3 linked regions of the Arabidopsis thaliana genome follow. The protein of the gene in region 1 interacts with the protein of each later gene in a pairwise test. Each region holds a gene or a part of one and is shown in the gene's direction. Other genes may lie near its edges.

Evidence for each region. The genes of interacting proteins can lie anywhere in the genome.
Region 2: the proteins of AT1G10585 (region 1) and ATAF1 interact in a two-hybrid assay, tested with the Arabidopsis thaliana proteins (one large-scale study listed by BioGRID).
Region 3: the proteins of AT1G10585 (region 1) and RD20 interact in a two-hybrid assay, tested with the Arabidopsis thaliana proteins (one large-scale study listed by BioGRID).

Annotation. Positions count from the first base shown.
Region 1 is NC_003070.9:3,490,985-3,498,992, reverse strand, and holds AT1G10585 (basic helix-loop-helix (bHLH) DNA-binding superfamily protein), read left to right. Parts: upstream 1-3,748; 5' UTR 3,749-3,888; coding exon 3,889-4,026; intron 4,027-4,308; exon of another isoform or gene 4,309-4,337; coding exon of another isoform or gene 4,338-4,379; coding exon 4,380-4,697; intron 4,698-4,788; coding exon 4,789-4,878; 3' UTR 4,879-5,223; downstream 5,224-8,008. Other genes in the region: AT1G10586 (basic helix-loop-helix (bHLH) DNA-binding superfamily protein), read left to right, coding at 1,338-1,655, 1,794-1,862; AT1G10580 (Transducin/WD40 repeat-like superfamily protein), read left to right, coding at 5,328-7,042, 7,427-7,433; OTS2 (Cysteine proteinases superfamily protein), read right to left, coding at 7,891-7,992.
Region 2 is NC_003070.9:266,394-272,521, forward strand, and holds ATAF1 (NAC (No Apical Meristem) domain transcriptional regulator superfamily protein), read left to right. Parts: upstream 1-1,599; 5' UTR 1,600-2,077; coding exon 2,078-2,237; intron 2,238-2,323; coding exon 2,324-2,601; intron 2,602-2,689; coding exon 2,690-3,121; 3' UTR 3,122-3,426; downstream 3,427-6,128. Other genes in the region: AT1G01715 (uncharacterized protein), read left to right, coding at 124-331, 900-1,111; AT1G01725 (adenylosuccinate synthetase), read right to left, coding at 3,623-3,697, 4,229-4,342; AT1G01730 (uncharacterized protein), read left to right, coding at 4,609-4,896, 4,986-5,040, 5,148-5,479; BSK4 (kinase with tetratricopeptide repeat domain-containing protein), read right to left, coding at 5,718-5,969, 6,052-6,128.
Region 3 is NC_003071.7:14,142,129-14,148,416, reverse strand, and holds RD20 (Caleosin-related family protein), read left to right. Parts: upstream 1-1,861; 5' UTR 1,862-2,042; coding exon 2,043-2,145; intron 2,146-2,419; coding exon 2,420-2,569; intron 2,570-2,652; coding exon 2,653-2,738; intron 2,739-2,834; coding exon 2,835-2,929; intron 2,930-3,021; coding exon 3,022-3,147; intron 3,148-3,282; coding exon 3,283-3,433; 3' UTR 3,434-3,586; downstream 3,587-6,288. Other genes in the region: arpc2b (actin-related protein C2B), read left to right, coding at 1-21, 117-208, 296-352, 454-496, 596-813; AT2G33370 (Ribosomal protein L14p/L23e family protein), read left to right, coding at 3,773-3,785, 4,115-4,399, 4,481-4,522, 4,617-4,699; AT2G33360 (cadherin EGF LAG seven-pass G-type receptor, putative (DUF3527)), read right to left, coding at 5,547-5,723, 5,882-6,288. UniProt on the Arabidopsis thaliana protein: Probable calcium-binding peroxygenase. May be involved in the degradation of storage lipid in oil bodies, in abiotic stress-related signaling pathway and in drought tolerance through stomatal control under water deficit conditions.

The DNA of each region.
Region 1 (8,008 bases):
TTATATGTAGTGTAGAGTTAAAACAAATGATTCATATCTATATATACATTTTTGCAGTCATTTTAACAAATAAATCCTGGACTTAGAACTTATTTACGACTCAATGCCACTGAATTTATTTTTTTCAATCGACATTTTAAATCAAATATTTACCTAACAAAAATATTGCCTAAAATGTCTCTATATTAAATCCACCATTACTTCAAAAAAAGTCTAACATTACTTCAAAAAAATCATTCCTAAAATCTCTCTTAAGTATTTATTAATTTTCGGTTTTAATTTGCTGCAAAAAAAAAATCGGTTTTAATAGTACAAAATATTTTAAGGTAGAATTTTCTTTCCATATTTATTTAATATTTCGTTTTTACAGCATTTAATATTTTGTTTATAAATAACAAATTAATTATTTAGCATTCAAGAAACTTTTTTCTAATCTATCCTTTAATTATATTGACATTATTGATTGATTTTTAAAATATATAGAGATTCAAATCTTCCATATATGTTTATCATCTTCTAAGGAAATTAAACAATTATTTTCTGAATCTAAACTAAAATTTAGAAAACTAAATAAATAAATAAAATCGTTTTAATTATTTTCTAAGCTAAACTATATTACACTATGATCTTTAGTTTTGAATCATTCATTTTCATTGTAATATAAAGAATCAATCTCATATTTTCCGTGTTATACAAATAATCAATCTCATATTTTCAGTTAGTAAAATGTACATGTATTAAAACGTAACAAAATCATCGTTCTCAAAACTATTTCAAATATATTACAATCTCATATATCACGCAGATTTCTTCAAAATTTGAACTAAATGTCGGTAACTATTTATAACAAAAAATGTTTGGCAAACCAAAATACAATTGCAATCCCTTAAAATGAGCAAAACGCACTTAAATACATTTTTTTATCAATTCACTAAATCTTATTTCTCCAAAATTTAAACTAGATTTCGGCAACTATTTAAAACAAAAATTGTTTGACAAACTAAAGTACAATTGTAATCCCGTAAAATATTTATTTTAATTATATATTTAAATCAACGATGTACTGTAGTTTTTTTTTACGGGACGGGTTTGGCGGGACGGGTTTGAAAGGACATTACTTAATAACAGTTGTAAACTGTAAAATAAATATATTTTATAGATAGATATAATTTACGAACTTTTATATATACTAATTTAAAAAAACAATTGTTCCCGCGGTGTACCGCGGGTTAAAATCTAGTATATTACATTTTAGTTAATACATATAACGATTATAACCAAATTCATACAAAAGACATGGAAGTAACTAGGTTGTGTGTTTTTATTGGCACCAACAGTTGCCAGTGCCTCAACTTATAGATCAAGCGGTATCATACATGATCCAACTGAAAGAGAAGGTAAACTATTTGAATGAGATGAAAAGGAGAATGTTAGGAGGAGAAGTCAAAAATCGCTCTGAAGGGTCGTCTCTTCTGCCAAAACTCAGTATTCGTTCACTGGATTCGATCATAGAAATGAATCTGGTTATGGATCTAAACATGAAAGGAGTAATGTTACACAAGCTTGTGAGTGTTTTTGAAGAAGAAGGAGCTCAAGTGATGAGTGCTAATCTTCAGAACTTGAATGATAGGACCTTTTATACAATCATAGCCCAGGTACATGCATGTGTCATGTTTTTTTTTTTTTTTTTAGCAGCATCTCTTTGTTCCATATCATTAAAATATAGTTTGAACTTTTTTTGAAGGACTATATATATATGATAAATTAATAATCACCTAAATGAATATTTGCAGGCTATCATATGTCGGATCGGGATTGATCCATCAAGGATAGAAGAGAGATTAAGGGATATAATCTCATGATTAATTTTTTGAAGCATTATTGAATCCCAAATCACAAGTCTTTTCTTAACAAATTAAATGTGTTAGTTCTTTAAACATGAGATTATGAGTATTTTTAAGAGTGAATTGGTGTAATAGCCCTATTGTTGTTTAAGTTAAAGAGAATGATCAAATGTCTGAATACCATTTCCTCAAGTATATGAACGAAAAAGCCTCTCACATCATCTTCAAAATCTCTTTATTTTCTCTTTTCTTTCTATGCCTAATCTCTATTACGTTTATAGAATCTCATGTTTAAATATAAAATATATTATCTACTTTTATTGTCAAGAACTCTCAAATTTTCTTTCATTGAGCATTTTAAGCTCAAATATTTTATTACAGGCGCCGTCTAAAATAGTCGTAATTGATATTTGCATACATAGAATAGATAGATGTTATGCATCTGATGACTATCTTCAAAACATGTTCAAGGGCATAGGCATTTGGATCCACTTTTGGAGTTTTTCATATTGCGATAGCAAGGACATTCATCTTTGTTTTCTCCTAAAATCACACATGGTTAGATTTTGTATGTGAATATAGTTAACTAAAACTTAAAAAACATGTATATATACACGACATAACTAGTAAACAAATCTTTTTTTCTAAATGTCTTATATAAATTGGACAGTATATATAGATCGATAACAAAAATTTCGCTACAAATTTTCTAACTATAAGTAATCATCCTTTTCTAGCCACAGAATTAGTTACAAGTAATTATAGGCTTAACATTTTAAAATTGGGCTAATCTGTATTTCTAGTCACGGATTTTCAATGGCTATGAATTATGATAGTTACCAAATGACTATTCTCTTCTTGTACGAATTCAAATATTTGAAGAAGGAAAAAAAGAATAACATGTGGAAAATGCAATAAGGATATAATTGTCCCTTACTCAGTTTCTAAGCAAGTGGTCAAGCAGCGAGACGATATATACACAGTGTTAGTATCATATTGCGGCTCCTTTTACTTTTTATGTCAGTTTGCTCAGTGGCAAAGTTATGACCAACATCTACCTGGAGTACTCCAAGACTCAACAAAACTAGGCATGTTTAATTTTCTGTCTTTGTATTCACCTCCGGTGAACGTTTAGACGATCGGTCCATGTAGATCCCCTATCCGGTGAACGATGTCGGCCATACGGCCAAAGAGAGTTGAGGGCCTTTAATAATTTATGTAAGGAATGCCGAATGTGTTGTGTCCTTTTCTTCTATGATAATGATAGCTTGTTGAATAATCTTAGGTTATGGCGCCTTATGATACTTTCCTCGGATAATGAATACGTGCACCAAATTAATTGAACATGATGATACTATTTGATTTAGTGGTCCCGATTCTATCAGTATACAAAACAATTTTCCTTTTCTATTTGTTGATAGAAACATATATAGTACTGTTGTAAGGAATTCATTTTTGTCTACCGTGGCTGTTGACTATTTTACGCCATTGAAATGATTTTTGATAATAATTTTCTCCAAACCTACTGTAAATCACAGGACTTAAACTCATGGTTAGTAATCTGAAAGAAGAAGAATCATATCTCTGAACGTTAGGAATCTCATCTCACACGGTAAGCATGATGCTATCTAAACTATGTCTTTGAACGTTAGAAATCTTACATCGAAATTATGATGCGTCCTAGTAATGTGTCAACCCACCAACAAATCTAATTTTTTTTTTAATGATAAACAACATATCTAATTGTTTTGAAACTTTTGTATCTTTAAGAACGTGGAAATTCCGAAGTAAATAGTAAAATTTACTTGGTAGGAAAGATGCATGCATCTTATTAATTTAGTGTGTAAGCTCACGGACGCAATCACAAAAGCCATGACTTTCTTCCAAAACATCCCTTTCATCTAAATCACGTAGCTCTTTCTCTCAAAGTTGAGATTTGTGACTCTGTATCTCCCGGCCCTCTCTATCTCTTTAACTGTATATAAAGAGAGATGGATTTGAAAAGAGAAACTTGTACATAAAAGCTTAAAAGAAAACAAAAAGAATGGGGAGAGCAAGAGAAATAGGAGAAGGAAACTCATCGTCGTTAAGGGAACAACGAAACCTCAGAGAGAAGGATCGAAGGATGCGCATGAAACATCTCTTCTCTATACTTTCTTCTCATGTTTCTCCCACTCGCAAGGTCCGTTTTTTCTCTCTAACTCTCCCTCTCTCTCTTTCTCTCTCTATATATATCTTATATTAAATTGTAGATGTGTTTTATGCGTATATACAACAATACAAACATTATCTACATAATTACTGTAAGATGTACGTTTTATTCTAAAGAGATAATATTTTGATTAATTGAATAGGCAGTTGTCCCTCTATGACCGTCCATATTAGCTCTCTTTTAAGTACGGTGTCTAATTGACAAATAAATGATTCACGTAGCTAGGGTTTTTACGGTTTATTTATATATATTGAATATAACCACATTCATGTAAAAGATTAATGAAAGTAATTATCTTGGGGTTTTTTTTGGGATCTAAACAGTTACCAGTGCCTCACCTTATAGATCAAGCGACATCATACATGATCCAATTGAAAGAGAATGTAAATTATTTGAAAGAGAAGAAAAGGACATTGTTACAAGGAGAACTCGGGAATCTCTACGAAGGGTCGTTTCTTCTACCCAAACTCAGTATTCGTTCGCGGGATTCGACCATAGAAATGAATCTGATCATGGATCTAAACATGAAAAGAGTAATGTTACACGAGCTTGTGAGTATTTTTGAAGAAGAAGGAGCTCAAGTAATGAGTGCTAATCTTCAGAACTTGAATGATAGGACCACTTACACAATCATAGCCCAGGTACCACATCCACACGCATATGTTTGTATAATACACACGTATATGCATGTGTCATGTCTTTCGTATAAATTTTTATTACATATATTTGCAGGCTATCATTAGTCGGATTGGCATTGATCCATCAAGGATAGAAGAGAGAGTACGGAAAATCATCTATGGATATATATATTTTGAAGCATGAAATCCCAAATGATAAGTCTACGCTAACGCTAGTGTGTTTTTTCACACATGTGTTAGTTCTTTAAATATGAGATGAGTAATTGCTTTTGAGTTCGATTATGATAAATATGTTGACCGTCAACATAAGAAACCTTAAAACGTTGTCGTTTCGTTTTTATTCATCCCGGTTTAATTCAGTTTGGCTTGGCGTGATTTTAGATTGGTCCAGATTTGCATAATTTTAACCACCGAGTAAGACAGTGGGATGTAAATGTCAATAAAATACACTATTGGGGTAAATGTGAAAAGAAAAAAATAGTAAGAGGCTATATTTGAAAATCTAAATATCGCACAAATTGCAACCCTTATTTTAGATTTAGGAATTTTGAAACCCTTGTCGAAGAGAAAAGAGGCAAAATCTCAGTATAAAGTTTCTCAAACACTTGTGGTAAGAGAGCAAAATCGTGAGAGATGGATCTGATTCAATCCTACGAAGAAGAAGACGAAGCCGTTGCTTCCTCGCCGGAATCTTCACCGCCTCGTATGTTAAAGGCGAAATCATCGGCGCCGGAGGTAGACGATACGGCACTAGCTCTCACGGTGGCTAACGTGAATCAATCGAAATCGAAGCCGATTGACCCGACTCAACACGTCGTCTTTTATAACCCTACCCATGATCAGCTGTGGGCTCCGATGTTCGGCCCCGCGCATCCGTATGCGAAAGACGGGATCGCTCAAGGGATGCGGAATCATAAGCTAGGTTCTGTGGAAGATGCTTCGATTGGATCGTTTGGGTTTGAAGAGCAGTACCATACGTTTCATAAGTGCGGTTACGCGGCGGATCCGTCTGGGATGAACTACGTCGGCGATGTTGAGGCGTTTAAGAAGAACGATGGTCTTTCGGTTTTTAATATTCCTCAGAGTGAGCAGAAGCGGAGGAAGATTGAGAGGAGCAAAGAGGAGAGGGAAGGGGAAGAGAAAAAGGAAGAGATTGAGCCGGAAGCTGAGAATCCGGAGACGGAAGCTTGGCTTAGGAAGAATAGGAAGAGTCCGTGGTCGAGGAAGAAGGAGGTGGTTCAGGGAGAGTTGACGGAGGAGCAGAAGAAGTATGCGGAGGATCATGCCAAGAAGAAGGAGGAGAAGGGACAACAAGGTGAAACCAAAGGAGAGCATTATGCGGATAAGAGTACCTTCCATGGCAAAGAGGAGAAAGATTATCAAGGAAGGTCTTGGATTGAGGCTCCTAAAGATGCTAAGGCGAACAATGATCATTGCTACATTCCAAAACGTTTGGTTCATACATGGAGTGGGCACACGAAAGGTGTTTCCGCTATTAGGTTCTTCCCAAAGCAAGGACATTTGCTTCTCTCTGCAGGTATGGATTGTAAGGTTAAGATTTGGGATGTGTATAACTCTGGTAAATGTATGAGGACTTACATGGGTCACGCCAAAGCTGTGAGGGATATTTGCTTCTCCAATGATGGGTCTAAATTCTTGACTGCTGGGTATGATAAGAACATTAAGTATTGGGACACGGAAACTGGCCAAGTTATATCGACTTTCTCCACTGGGAAGATTCCGTATGTGGTTAAGCTGAATCCGGATGATGACAAGCAGAACATTTTGTTGGCTGGTATGAGTGATAAGAAGATTGTGCAGTGGGATATTAATACGGGGGAGGTTACGCAAGAGTATGATCAGCACTTGGGGGCAGTTAATACTATCACATTTGTGGACAATAACAGAAGATTTGTCACGTCGAGCGATGATAAGTCTCTCCGTGTTTGGGAATTTGGGATCCCGGTGGTTATCAAGTATATCAGTGAGCCTCATATGCATTCTATGCCTTCCATTTCTGTTCACCCGAATGGAAACTGGCTTGCTGCACAGAGTTTGGATAACCAGATTCTGATCTACAGTACCCGAGAAAGGTTTCAGCTGAATAAAAAGAAGAGGTTTGCAGGGCACATTGTTGCCGGTTATGCATGCCAAGTTAACTTCTCGCCAGATGGACGGTTTGTAATGTCAGGAGATGGTGAGGGTAAGTGCTGGTTTTGGGACTGGAAGAGCTGCAAAGTGTTTAGGACTCTTAAATGTCACAATGGAGTATGCATTGGAGCCGAGTGGCATCCTCTGGAACAGAGTAAAGTCGCAACTTGTGGTTGGGACGGCTTGATTAAGTACTGGTATGTAACCTTCTTCCAGACTATTTTGTTTATTTGTTTCTCTTGTCATGATGTGTGGTGTGTGCCTTTACGTAACAGCTGCATAATAGTTATTATTGGTATATATAATTGTAGCAAAGCTAAAGTTGTCATCTGAGTATCCTTGCATGTAACATGTGTCTTAATTCTTTTGGAATCAGATATCGTATATTCCTAGTGTATGAGTAATACTTTGAGTTCACATCTGTGGAGTGATTTGGAAAGAAAGTTTGACTTTGATTCTAATGGTTTTTATTCATAAAGAAGTTGCGCAATTGTAAAATCTTTGAAAATTACCAGTCCATGTAACCATGTCGTAATCTCATGGCTAATGTTTGATTGTGATGTTTTGTTGCACATTTGCAGGGACTAAGACAAGCAGAGGCATTTCGGAGAAAGAGAGAGTAGAAGGCACAGAAATCACGGCCTAGCCTGGGCTATACGGAATGCTGCATCTTTGGGATACAAAGCCCCTTTGAGTTTTGCTTTCCGCTGTTTTAGATTCTTTAGTGTTGTATCAATCTCGGTTTAATGGATTATGTAGAGGGACGACCAAAACTATTTCAAATGCTTGAGAGAAACTGTTGACTGAATCGTTATAAAGATAGCTTGTAAGACTTGAAATTTTGCTAAAGCTGTGTTACTTTGCACCATTGCAGCAATGTTGGCTTTTTATTCGGATACGTTATTATTACCTTGTTGATTTGTTCTGATTATGTCATGCTCCTTAGTTTATTACAGGACTTGAACAAAATGATTGTTAACAAAAACGTATCTTTCATTTCATTCCTTAATTAGAGTGACCAAACTTGACACTGTTCTATACAGCTTTAATCTGTTTGGTTACCCTTGCGGAATAGATCAACGAGTATGTTCCAGATTTTGATCCTCAAAGCGGAAGCTTCTTCCGGTTTAAACCACTTCTTGTGAATCTGGAGATGAAGACAA
Region 2 (6,128 bases), 3.2 Mb from region 1:
ATAGTTTTGTATCCATTTGTGATTTGCGGGTTTCTGTTGCCACCTCCCCACTCTCCTCGCTTTTGTTGGTCTTGGAAAAACCCTGGGATTTTGGGTATCTCTGAGCACGAATTCTACATTCTCATGGCTTTCGAACACAGAAATGAAGACCTAAATTCCTTGGATTCGGAAGAAGATCTGGAGAAAATGGAGTCAGAGGTGGAGCAAATGTCGCGCAAGGTTTCCGAGTACAGGAAAAGCCTACCGAGTAATCTGAGCAATTCTGTGATTTCTTCTCGTAGATCCAATTTTCCCAACATCGATTCTTTGGGCTTTCGCACAACTAGCACAGGTTCGTACGTTTCTTTGCTTATATTTAGTTAGATACCTTCCTTCTCCTTTGGTTTCAGCTGGAATTTTAGTCTCTTTTTCTTTCTAGATGATGTAATAATAGATTGATCCTCTACATTATTCGTGGATCATTCTTGTGAAGACCAAGTTGTTTAGCAGCAGCAGACTTGCCTTTTGATTGTGATGTCGTTTTTTGCATTTAGGTTTGTGTCATGCCATGCGTGTAGAATATTGTGATACTTGCTACTATACCCTCTGGATGATTATGTTCATGAGTTATTACGCTTAATTCTGAGGTGATGATACATATACAAGGCTTTTCCATTACAATAAATCATGTATTTTTGTGGCTTAGAATCGACAAGCATGAGACTATGTGATGATATGTTTAGCTAAGCTGAGAGAAAATGATTGTTTAGCCAATTTTTGTTTACAGATACCATGAGATAAGTGGCCACATTAGGTGACACTAAGATTTCATAGCATTGTAATATACACAAGTCTCTAGTGAACTGCTGTTGTGATAACCAACTCATCAGTTATTTTGTTCCTTGCAAGTTTGGAAGAACCTCTAGTGTCAAGAGATGGAGCACATATAGGTGGAATCGAACAAGAATCTCGAGATAGCCTGATTCAGCTCAAAGAAAGAGTGTACGAGAACATTGCCACAGTGCCTCTAGTTGTAGAGAGAATGCGAGAGAGTAAAGAGAGAATCGACAAGTCCATTTCTTTCAATGGAACTACTATGCACCCGGCTTTCACAAGGCGGAAAGCTAGCTAACTGATCAGTTTCTACTTCTCCCTATTGGCTTTACCACTCAAAGAAAGCTAATGCATAGGAGGAGATATGGCTGGTATTTCTTTCTACTATATTAGTATCAACCAACATCTCTCGCATTTAGAATAAGAGTATACCATAACCTCTGTTTTGATTGTGTTCTACATTGAAACAGGTCTTTCTCTGATTTTAATATGGACTCTTATAGAATCTTGGGCTGATTCTACACCCTGTATGTATATGTAAGAATCACATAATCAGATGGTTGCACAATTGTCAAGAACACCCAAATCCAAGCTTGCGATTTAGCAATCTCACCCGTGTAAGAAACTTAAAACCATAAAACCAATTGATATAAGAGCTTTTCTAGCAAAAACTTAAAAATATAATTAACACCGTCGAAAATGGTGGAGGCTACTAGAGCGAGATATAAACTTTATCACCGTTTAATCGTGTGGGATTTTGAAATGATATGAACCTATTGCAAAAAGACAAAAAAAAAATATAAACGGAGGAACTAGGCAGTGGGACCGGAGATCCACCGACCGGAAACGAAGAATCCATAGTAAGATAGAGCCCAGGGGTTCGGTCGTATCGGACCGGTCGGATTTGGATTCTAACGACAAGTGAGTGGACCCCCAGAAACGACAGACGTAAGCAATGACAACATCAAACTCATCGCCACGTCAGCAACGGAGTTCTACTTGCGAAACGTGTCCCGGCAGCGTCATCCACCCACGTGTGTTCTAGAAGCTCTTCTCCTCCTCCGTATCTCGACACGTGTCCACTCCCTCTCCTTATATAATTGACTTTTCTCTCATTCTTTCCAAGTTTCAAAAACGCCAAGTTTCAGAGGTAGAGAGAGAGATACTACAATTGATTAGGATAGGATCAGGATCATCCTCAACAACCTCCTCCTAATTCCTCCTCCATTCATAGTAACAATAATATTAAGAAAGAGGGTAAACTATGTCAGAATTATTACAGTTGCCTCCAGGTTTCCGATTTCACCCTACCGATGAAGAGCTTGTCATGCACTATCTCTGCCGCAAATGTGCCTCTCAGTCCATCGCCGTTCCGATCATCGCTGAGATCGATCTCTACAAATACGATCCATGGGAGCTTCCTGGTGACATACTAGCTCTCTTTCTCTTTAATCTTTGCCGGATTCTAAATCTGAGATTGTTCTCTGCTGACTCAAATTCAATTTTACAGGTTTAGCCTTGTATGGTGAGAAGGAATGGTACTTCTTCTCTCCCAGGGACAGAAAATATCCCAACGGTTCGCGTCCTAACCGGTCCGCTGGTTCTGGTTACTGGAAAGCTACCGGAGCTGATAAACCGATCGGACTACCTAAACCGGTCGGAATTAAGAAAGCTCTTGTTTTCTACGCCGGCAAAGCTCCAAAGGGAGAGAAAACCAATTGGATCATGCACGAGTACCGTCTCGCCGACGTTGACCGGTCCGTTCGCAAGAAGAAGAATAGTCTCAGGGTATGGAATCAGATCTGATTCACATCTTTGTTTCAATCTCTTGTTCTGTTTCTGGTAAATTGAATCAACGGTGTTGATTTTTGCCCAGCTGGATGATTGGGTTCTCTGCCGGATTTACAACAAAAAAGGAGCTACCGAGAGGCGGGGACCACCGCCTCCGGTTGTTTACGGCGACGAAATCATGGAGGAGAAGCCGAAGGTGACGGAGATGGTTATGCCTCCGCCGCCGCAACAGACAAGTGAGTTCGCGTATTTCGACACGTCGGATTCGGTGCCGAAGCTGCATACTACGGATTCGAGTTGCTCGGAGCAGGTGGTGTCGCCGGAGTTCACGAGCGAGGTTCAGAGCGAGCCCAAGTGGAAAGATTGGTCGGCCGTAAGTAATGACAATAACAATACCCTTGATTTTGGGTTTAATTACATTGATGCCACCGTGGATAACGCGTTTGGAGGAGGAGGGAGTAGTAATCAGATGTTTCCGCTACAGGATATGTTCATGTACATGCAGAAGCCTTACTAGAAGGGAATTCCTTTCCTGCCGCCGAAACGCAACGCAAAACGACCCTCGTTTTTGCGTTTATGGCAACACGAGACCGTTTTATATGGTCAATGAGTGTGCCGATTCGGCCATTAGATTTCTGTTCAGTCTTCGTTTATTCTATAGACCGTCCGATTTCAGATCATCCCTAATCGGACGGTGGTCGTTGGATGTATCAGTAGTGTATTACTGTGTTAGGTAGAAGAAAATCCACTTGTTCTTAAATTGGCATAAAAGTCAGAAGCTAATATTTATATGTGCCGCAATCAATTTAATATTTTCTGTCTACTTAGGAGTAATGGATACAAACTAGCGTATTGGTTCTATATTTATTTATCAGCTTTCACAGTTGATCTGACTTACATTTATTGTGAACATATCTAACAAGTGTAGAGGAGTAATGGATACAAGCTAGAGTACAGTGTGTTAGCAGAAACGCTATAAGATGAAGTCTGATGTTGAGCTACATGTTACTGTCCATTGTCACTTGTCGGACTTCTTTGATGGAAAGATGAACTCTTTCACGGAATCTTGCGCTGAAAGTATCCTCTGTCTGATCTGCATATGCAAAATGTCATAGATAATATAGAGTTAATTGGCTACAAAACCCCATCGAACCATAAGAAATTGATTTGGTGTTCAAGAGTAAATGAGTAATCAGTACTCTCAACATAGAGAGAGTAACAACAGACTAAAAACTCAGCAAAACAAAGTAGTCACTACTCATTCGTTGAAGATCCAGGCAAACGCAACAAAGCTGAGCATAGAAGTCAGGAACATTCATATCTCATTCAAAGTTTTCTAAGATCAAAATTCAACCCTAGCAACTAACAACTAATAAAGAGATCTAACCAATATCAATTGAAACCAAGTGATTGTAGGCTGTAGCAAATATCTGCGATTCGAAGCGATGATGATCGAGAAGGTTGACGGTTCGATTTATTAAACACAAACAAAAAAAAAAGAGAGAGAGAGAGAGAGAGAGAGAGAGAGAGAGAGAGAGAGAGAGAGAGAGAGAGAGAGAGAGAGAGAGAGAGAGAGAGAGAGAGAGAGAGAGAGAGAGAGAGAGAGAGAGAGAGAGAAACTCACAGGATCAAGAGCGTTGGGCTCTGGACCGTAATCAGCGGTTAAGAGGAAGTACGATACAACAGCAGTCGCCACCACACTGGTTACCTTCACCACCTTTTCAATTTGGGGATTCATCGATGTTTTCGTTCCCAGAAAGAACAATTCCGGTGATTTTGGTTTTTTTCAAGTGACACAATGATGATGTTATACGTTTTTTTATTGGTAAAACGACACACAATCCGATTTGTGTAAGAAAATTCATGCCGTTTTCGTTCACTTCAAATATGGGCCCAGAAAGGCCCAAACATCTCATCAAGTCCTCACGGCGTCGTTTTTAAGATCCCCGCTGCGTTGATTTATGGCGATCTCTTTCGGCGGTTGAAAACCTTTGAAAATTGAAAATGGAGAAATCGACCTCTCCGGCGACTCGAGTCACCGAACCTCCTCCTGCTGCTACTTCATCTCTTCCAGCACAAGCTCCTCCGCTTCCTACATCTGCAGATCAGAGATCAGCTGAGTTACCTTCGCCTGCTCAGCCAGCTCAGATGACTGCGCCTCCGTCGACAGTTACCACAGATCCGTCGTCCAGGGGAAGAAAGCGAGCGCTGGAAGCGAATCTTCAGATCGAGAGCTCCAACTACTACAAGATGCGTCTCCTTGTCAAAGATCTTCGCCCTCACGTTCTCGAGGTTGGACCATAATTGTGATAAAAACATTCAAACTCTTTGTTTGGGAAAGGGTTTATACATAACAACTTGGATTTTGTGGTGTGCTACAGGTTTTACGAACTCCAGACTTGAGGAACTCTAAGGCAGTTATCGAGATTCAAGAGAGTGAGAAGCTCTTACACTCTCTTCTTTTGTTATCTCAATTTTCACTTAGCTCAACAAAAGGCCCAACTTGTTTGATTCTGTGTCCCTTGAAATGATGATGTTTGCAGAGATGAAGCTTATGCTTCAACTGTACGAAGAGATGATTGGAGAGTCTCCCAAACGTGAGAAAACAGCTAAGAGCGACTCTTTATCCAACGGAAAGGCGACTACTACTACTACTACTACTACTAGTGTACTGAGATCATCTGAAACTGAGAAGCACAGCTCTGATGGAGATGGCGACAAGGTGGTTGGAGGGTCGGCATTTGGCTGGAACTTCATAACCTCTGGAGGGCCAGGCACTGAACCTGTTTATTCTGGAATGTCAAAGGAAGAATACAGAAGCTCTCACCCAATTATGCAAGTGGAGGCAGAGCTTGAGTTGCCCAACACATTCTAAGCTTTGTTAGTGGTGTTTGTATAATATTATTCACTTTGGTATCCGTTCATCCCAATGTTTTATATGTATCAACTGAAACAATGGATTAGCTTCTACCCATGAAGCCTTAATTAGTACACAATATGCTTAACATCTAAACCTTTTTTTTTACACAATATGCTTAATGAGACAGCACATTACCTTTGGATTGTTAATCAAAGCTTCTTCATCTTCTACCAAAACCCAAAATAATAAGTCTTTAGTTCTGTGTGGAAGCTGAAATCTTTCTGGCTTCAAGAATGGATCCTTCGGTAAGTGCGATTTGAGATTCCTTCTCCATTCCCAGGACAGAAAGAGCAGCAGACTGGAGATACAATGCAACATACCAAACAGGAGAAATGCCTTGAGCCTTCATTGCATCATCTAAAGCTTCTTTCGCCATGTTACTCATTAGGTAACTTTGACTTCGCCGCACCAAGACTGTTGCAGAGATCATTCCCAAATCAAGAAACTGGGACAATTTTTATAGACAGGGCATCATCAACTATGGAGGAAGGTCTTGTTACGGATTCAAGTGTGAAAGAAAGACATACCTGCGTGTAAAACTCAATGGCTTCACTAAAGTCTTTTCTTCTAAATGCAATATCACCTTTTTTCTTCGAGTTTATAG
Region 3 (6,288 bases), on another chromosome or scaffold:
ATTCTGGTTTTGTATCATTTGGTACGTTTTGTGTCATTTTATCTGTTTATAAAACTTAATCCAACATCTTTAATTAGTATTCTTAAATGTCAAAGTTCAAACAATTCTCATTGCAGATATTACTTCACGGCACATTGAAGGAAAGAGACTGGACAAAACGGTTTGGAACTTGCTAAATTTCTACGCATGCGCTAAGTACCATATTAAGGTACATTAGTTCTAGTTTTTCAAATAAAATATAATAGATTTTGTGTTCTTGTAATTGAAAATTTTCAACCTCGTATTGTTTAAATAGTGCTCGAGAGGGTACATACAGAGACGGATGAGAAAAAGAATGGAAACTTTAGTTAAGGTATTTTTATCATATATTACGTACACACACGAATCTACAACAATAGTTGACATTTCATAAACAAAATAACGTATGTTTGTAAATTTACATTATATACGTAGCTGCTAAATAACACAAGCCTAGAAGAAGAAGCTGCTCAAAATGGTATCCTTTTTTTTTGTTACCTTTAACCTTACTTAGGTTTGTATATATAAAAAAGTTATATTATCATTTTTTCTTTTCCATTCTCTAATTTCTATATAGAAAACGGAAGATGCAAATACGTAAAGGAGTTTGTGAAGGTACCAAAAGGTAAATTGATGATGAAACAAAGATGCAAGGAGATGACAAGGAGAGTGAAGATAAGCAAGTTCCGGATCAAAATCAACGGTTGTGCTCGGTTTCGATTCAATCAGCGGTGGATATCTCTCCCCAAATTCTCTTCGAAACCATCAGATAAATCATACACAAAATTGGACTAAGTAATCACTTAACTTGGAAAGTCTCAAGAAAGAGGCTCGGTGTTGTTGTTTTTTTTCTTTGTCAACATGCTTTAAAATTGAATTCGGGGAGCAATATTATACGTTAATGAATATCTTGACAACAAAAAAAAACGTTATCAGATAAACTTATGGATATAATTTGGTAAACCAAAAATAAACCTAATCAAAAGTTGGCATTGAATGCAGCATGTTACGTAAGAGCTTTGTACAAGTACCATTCACTCTTTTTACTTTTCAATGTATACAATCATCATGTGATAAAAAAAAAAATGTAACCAATCAACACACTGAGATACGGCCAAAAAATGGTAATACATAAATGTTTGTAGGTTTTGTAATTTAAATACTTTAGTTAAGTTATGATTTTATTATTTTTGCTTATCACTTATACGAAATCATCAATCTATTGGTATCTCTTAATCCCGCTTTTTAATTTCCACCGCACACGCAAATCAGCAAATGGTTCCAGCCACGTGCATGTGACCACATATTGTGGTCACAGTACTCGTCCTTTTTTTTTCTTTTGTAATCAATAAATTTCAATCCTAAAACTTCACACATTGAGCACGTCGGCAACGTTAGCTCCTAAATCATAACGAGCAAAAAAGTTCAAATTAGGGTATATGATCAATTGATCATCACTACATGTCTACATAATTAATATGTATTCAACCGGTCGGTTTGTTGATACTCATAGTTAAGTATATATGTGCTAATTAGAATTAGGATGAATCAGTTCTTGCAAACAACTACGGTTTCATATAATATGGGAGTGTTATGTACAAAATGAAAGAGGATGGATCATTCTGAGATGTTATGGGCTCCCAGTCAATCATGTTTTGCTCGCATATGCTATCTTTTGAGTCTCTTCCTAAACTCATAGAATAAGCACGTTGGTTTTTTCCACCGTCCTCCTCGTGAACAAAAGTACAATTACATTTTAGCAAATTGAAAATAACCACGTGGATGGACCATATTATATGTGATCATATTGCTTGTCGTCTTCGTTTTCTTTTAAATGTTTACACCACTACTTCCTGACACGTGTCCCTATTCACATCATCCTTGTTATATCGTTTTACTTATAAAGGATCACGAACACCAAAACATCAATGTGTACGTCTTTTGCATAAGAAGAAACAGAGAGCATTATCAATTATTAACAATTACACAAGACAGCGAGATTGTAAAAGAGTAAGAGAGAGAGAATGGCAGGAGAGGCAGAGGCTTTGGCCACGACGGCACCGTTAGCTCCGGTCACCAGTCAGCGAAAAGTACGGAACGATTTGGAGGAAACATTACCAAAACCATGTAAGTGTGAATGTCCAAATTTATGATTTTAATGTGTAACAAGCGGGAAATTAAGTGGTTACGTTAAATGAAACTACAAAAACATCCAACTATTAACATGACAAATCGTATATTATCCATTTTTAAAAGTTATGGTGAGGACATGAACATGTTTCAAATTAAGTGTACCTTTCAAGATTTGTAGTGTTCAACACAAGTCACAATAACTTAAAGAAAAAATGTAATTTTCTTGAAAAAGATACATAATAATCTAACGTACAAAAATGAAAAACAGACATGGCAAGAGCATTAGCAGCTCCAGATACAGAGCATCCGAATGGAACAGAAGGTCACGATAGCAAAGGAATGAGTGTTATGCAACAACATGTTGCTTTCTTCGACCAAAACGACGATGGAATCGTCTATCCTTGGGAGACTTATAAGGGTAATTATTACTTGTTATAGTCTCTTCAAAGACTTCAATCTTCAGAAAAAAAAAAAATTCAAATAATTGTATAAAAATTGCAGGATTTCGTGACCTTGGTTTCAACCCAATTTCCTCTATCTTTTGGACCTTACTCATAAACTTAGCGTTCAGCTACGTTACACTTCCGGTATGGAAAATAATCCAGAGACCCTTCGAATTTAATTTGAATTTTATTATTATTTTGTGATTTTAATTTATGTTGTGATCAATTTTATGTAAAAAGAGTTGGGTGCCATCACCATTATTGCCGGTTTATATCGACAACATACACAAAGCCAAGCATGGGAGTGATTCGAGCACCTATGACACCGAAGGAAGGTAACATTAACATATATGTAAAATATAATATCCAATAATTTTAAATAGAATTTTCATGATACTCAATTTTGTAAAATTGCGATTGTTTATAGGTATGTCCCAGTTAACCTCGAGAACATATTTAGCAAATACGCGCTAACGGTTAAAGATAAGTTATCATTTAAAGAGGTTTGGAATGTAACCGAGGGAAATCGAATGGCAATCGATCCTTTTGGATGGTTAGTACTAAAAACATTATTGGTTATTAGTTGATTTTTTTGAATGAAATTTATTAGTTGATTTTACATACACGGTAATAAGTTAACACTAAATCCTAACGAAATCTGCTAAATTTGTTGTGTTGGTTATGGCAGGCTTTCAAACAAAGTTGAATGGATACTACTCTATATTCTTGCTAAGGACGAAGATGGTTTCCTATCTAAAGAAGCTGTGAGAGGTTGCTTTGATGGAAGTTTATTTGAACAAATTGCCAAAGAGAGGGCCAATTCTCGCAAACAAGACTAAGAATGTGTGTGTTTGGTTAGCGAATAAAGCTTTTTGAAGAAAAGCATTGTGTAATTTAGCTTCTTTCGTCTTGTTATTCAGTTTGGGGATTTGTATAATTAATGTGTTTGTAAACTATGTTTCAAAGTTATATAAATAAGAGAAGATGTTACAAAAAAAAAAAAAAGACTAATAAGAAGAATTTGGTATTGTTCATTTCATGATTAAAATGGTTCATGGGCTATCATGGGCCTAAAAGGCCTTTTCCATAGGTTTAAACCCTAATCCTTTCTTCTCCTTCATTTTTCTACTTCGATCAGACGCCAAACATCAGAAGCCCTAGAGCTTGAGCCGTCGAAAATGTCGAAGCGAGGTATGTCTTTTTCGATTCCAAGCCTTCTTCTTTCGTAGCTGTTGCAATTTAGTATAATTTGTTTTTGAAGCTTCCATGGCTGTTAGATTTAATAATAATTGAAATCAATCTACTACTCTCAGTATAGAATGCTCGAAAGTTTGAACCTTTGATCTCGATTTCTTCAATTCCAAGTAATATGATCTGATGTATTCATCTAGACAGCTCATTAACAACATTTGATATCAAAAATATTGAATTTGAGACTTGATGTTATTGAAAACAGAAAAGGTAAATGTTTTTGAGCATTGTTCTAATGGTGCTTGTGTTTTGTTGTTTGATTTGATTAGGACGTGGAGGAACGTCTGGTAACAAATTCAGGATGTCACTTGGTCTGCCCGTTGCAGCCACAGTGAACTGTGCAGACAACACTGGTGCTAAGAACCTTTACATCATCTCTGTTAAAGGAATCAAAGGTCGTCTCAATCGGTTACCTTCTGCTTGTGTTGGTGACATGGTTATGGCCACTGTCAAGAAAGGTAAACCAGACCTCAGGAAAAAGGTTCTTCCTGCTGTGATTGTTAGGCAACGTAAGCCATGGCGCCGAAAGGACGGTGTTTTCATGTACTTTGAAGGTAATTTTGCATACCTCAACAATTTCTCGAGTTGAAGTTTATGATCATGAGATTGGTACTGATTCGGTTCTTGGATCGTAGATAATGCTGGAGTGATTGTGAACCCTAAGGGAGAAATGAAAGGTATTAGTTTGTTTATTCCATTAGTTCTTTGTCAAACATATCTTGGCAGTACATTGTTTTCTGAAACATGTTGGTGGTTTGTTTTGGTTTTCAGGTTCTGCAATTACTGGACCTATTGGGAAAGAGTGTGCGGATCTCTGGCCAAGGATTGCTAGTGCTGCTAACGCCATTGTCTGAAGATCATTTATCACTTTTGCTGGTTATGTATCTGTCTTCAACGAAACGCGAAATAGTTGGTGTTTTGAGTGTTTTAAGTAGAGACGACAATCTTTTGTGAGCTTCAGACATATTTCCAGTTTCTAAGAGATTTTGCTTAGATTTTTCCAGTTTCTGATTTTGTGAAAATCAATTGCTCAGAGGTGACTATTAATAGGTCATAAAAATGAGTTATAAAGTCGAAAATTATGTGCAGAAGAAACTCTTACAAAACCAGAATATCATGAAGGTGAAAATTTGGAGGCAGCGAAATCATGTGGTCTACAATATTTGGAGGCAGCGAAATAATCTGCTTCACAATCTTCAGCGTCTTGCTCCGGCCCTCATCTTCAAGTTCATTGACCGCGAGATTCGAAACATCATCACCTCGAGAAGGCACCGGGCGCGTTGGCGGTCGTTAATGCTTCTTTGGATCCGTTAATCCACCCAAATCTTACGTAACTCTATTGTAATCTTGTTTTACTTTTTTGCCAAGATTGCTTTGGTTTGGTTTTGCTCTGTAAAATCACATTGTTCATTCTAATGATATTAACAAATTTAGCAAAAAAAAAAAAAATCATGAAGGTGAAAATCAAAAGTCAGAATTTACATTTTACACAACTCTTTGAAAAACAATACCAAAGCCCACATATGATTCCAGTAAAGAGACAATGATATACTTTCTATAGATTTAAACAGAAAGCCAAAAAATAAAAAAATAAAAATAATATCTACTAATTTGTAGATATTGTTAACTCAAGAACCCAACTAAAAACTATGAAGGCTGAGTTTTGCCCATCTTACTTTGTGCAATCCTTTCTTTTGCTAGTTAAGCTTCTGTACACTTCTTTGACGACCATGGCCGGAGTCTCTGGCTTTGGCTATGAATGTATGCTAAAGCAATTGAAAAAGATTGCAAAACTGATATCTTTGCTTGAGACTGGACAAAGTAGAGACCATCTCGAACATTCATGATCCTTAGTCCAGGACTTCCCTGCATCAATCCCTGAAACGAAAACACACAACGAATCAATCGAATTTCAGAGTCAATATGACCAAGACTGATTTTTTAGTTGATGAGTTATCTTGAATGCAAGAAAGTTTCCATTTTTTGAAATCTATGATGTATGGTTAAGGAAGTGGTAACTGGATCTTGAATGCTACCTCTGTGAAAAGCTCAAAAAGATTGCATTGGCCTTCACTTTGGTCTTTTCGCGCTTGGCCTTTAAGGACGGTTAAGGGGCAACCCAAGTCCCATCCAGAGCAATCACAGCATCCACCGGATTTCCATCTCTGAATCAAGCTCGAAGGACCACCGTTTCTATTTCTCGGCCCTCCGTGAATCCCTAAAGGAATCACAACATCTATGCTTGTGGAATGCTTAGAACATTTAGAAGCATCCTTGGTTCGAGCTAAGGGAATTTTCTTGAGAAACTTCATGCCCCAGCCTCCAACTTTTTCGACTTCTTCTTCTTCTTCTTCTTCCACTGGAAACTGTTCTCTCACAACAACAGCTGAGGTTTCAAGATTTGGTGGAAGGTCATTATCCAGTAAACTTATGGGTTCAAGAT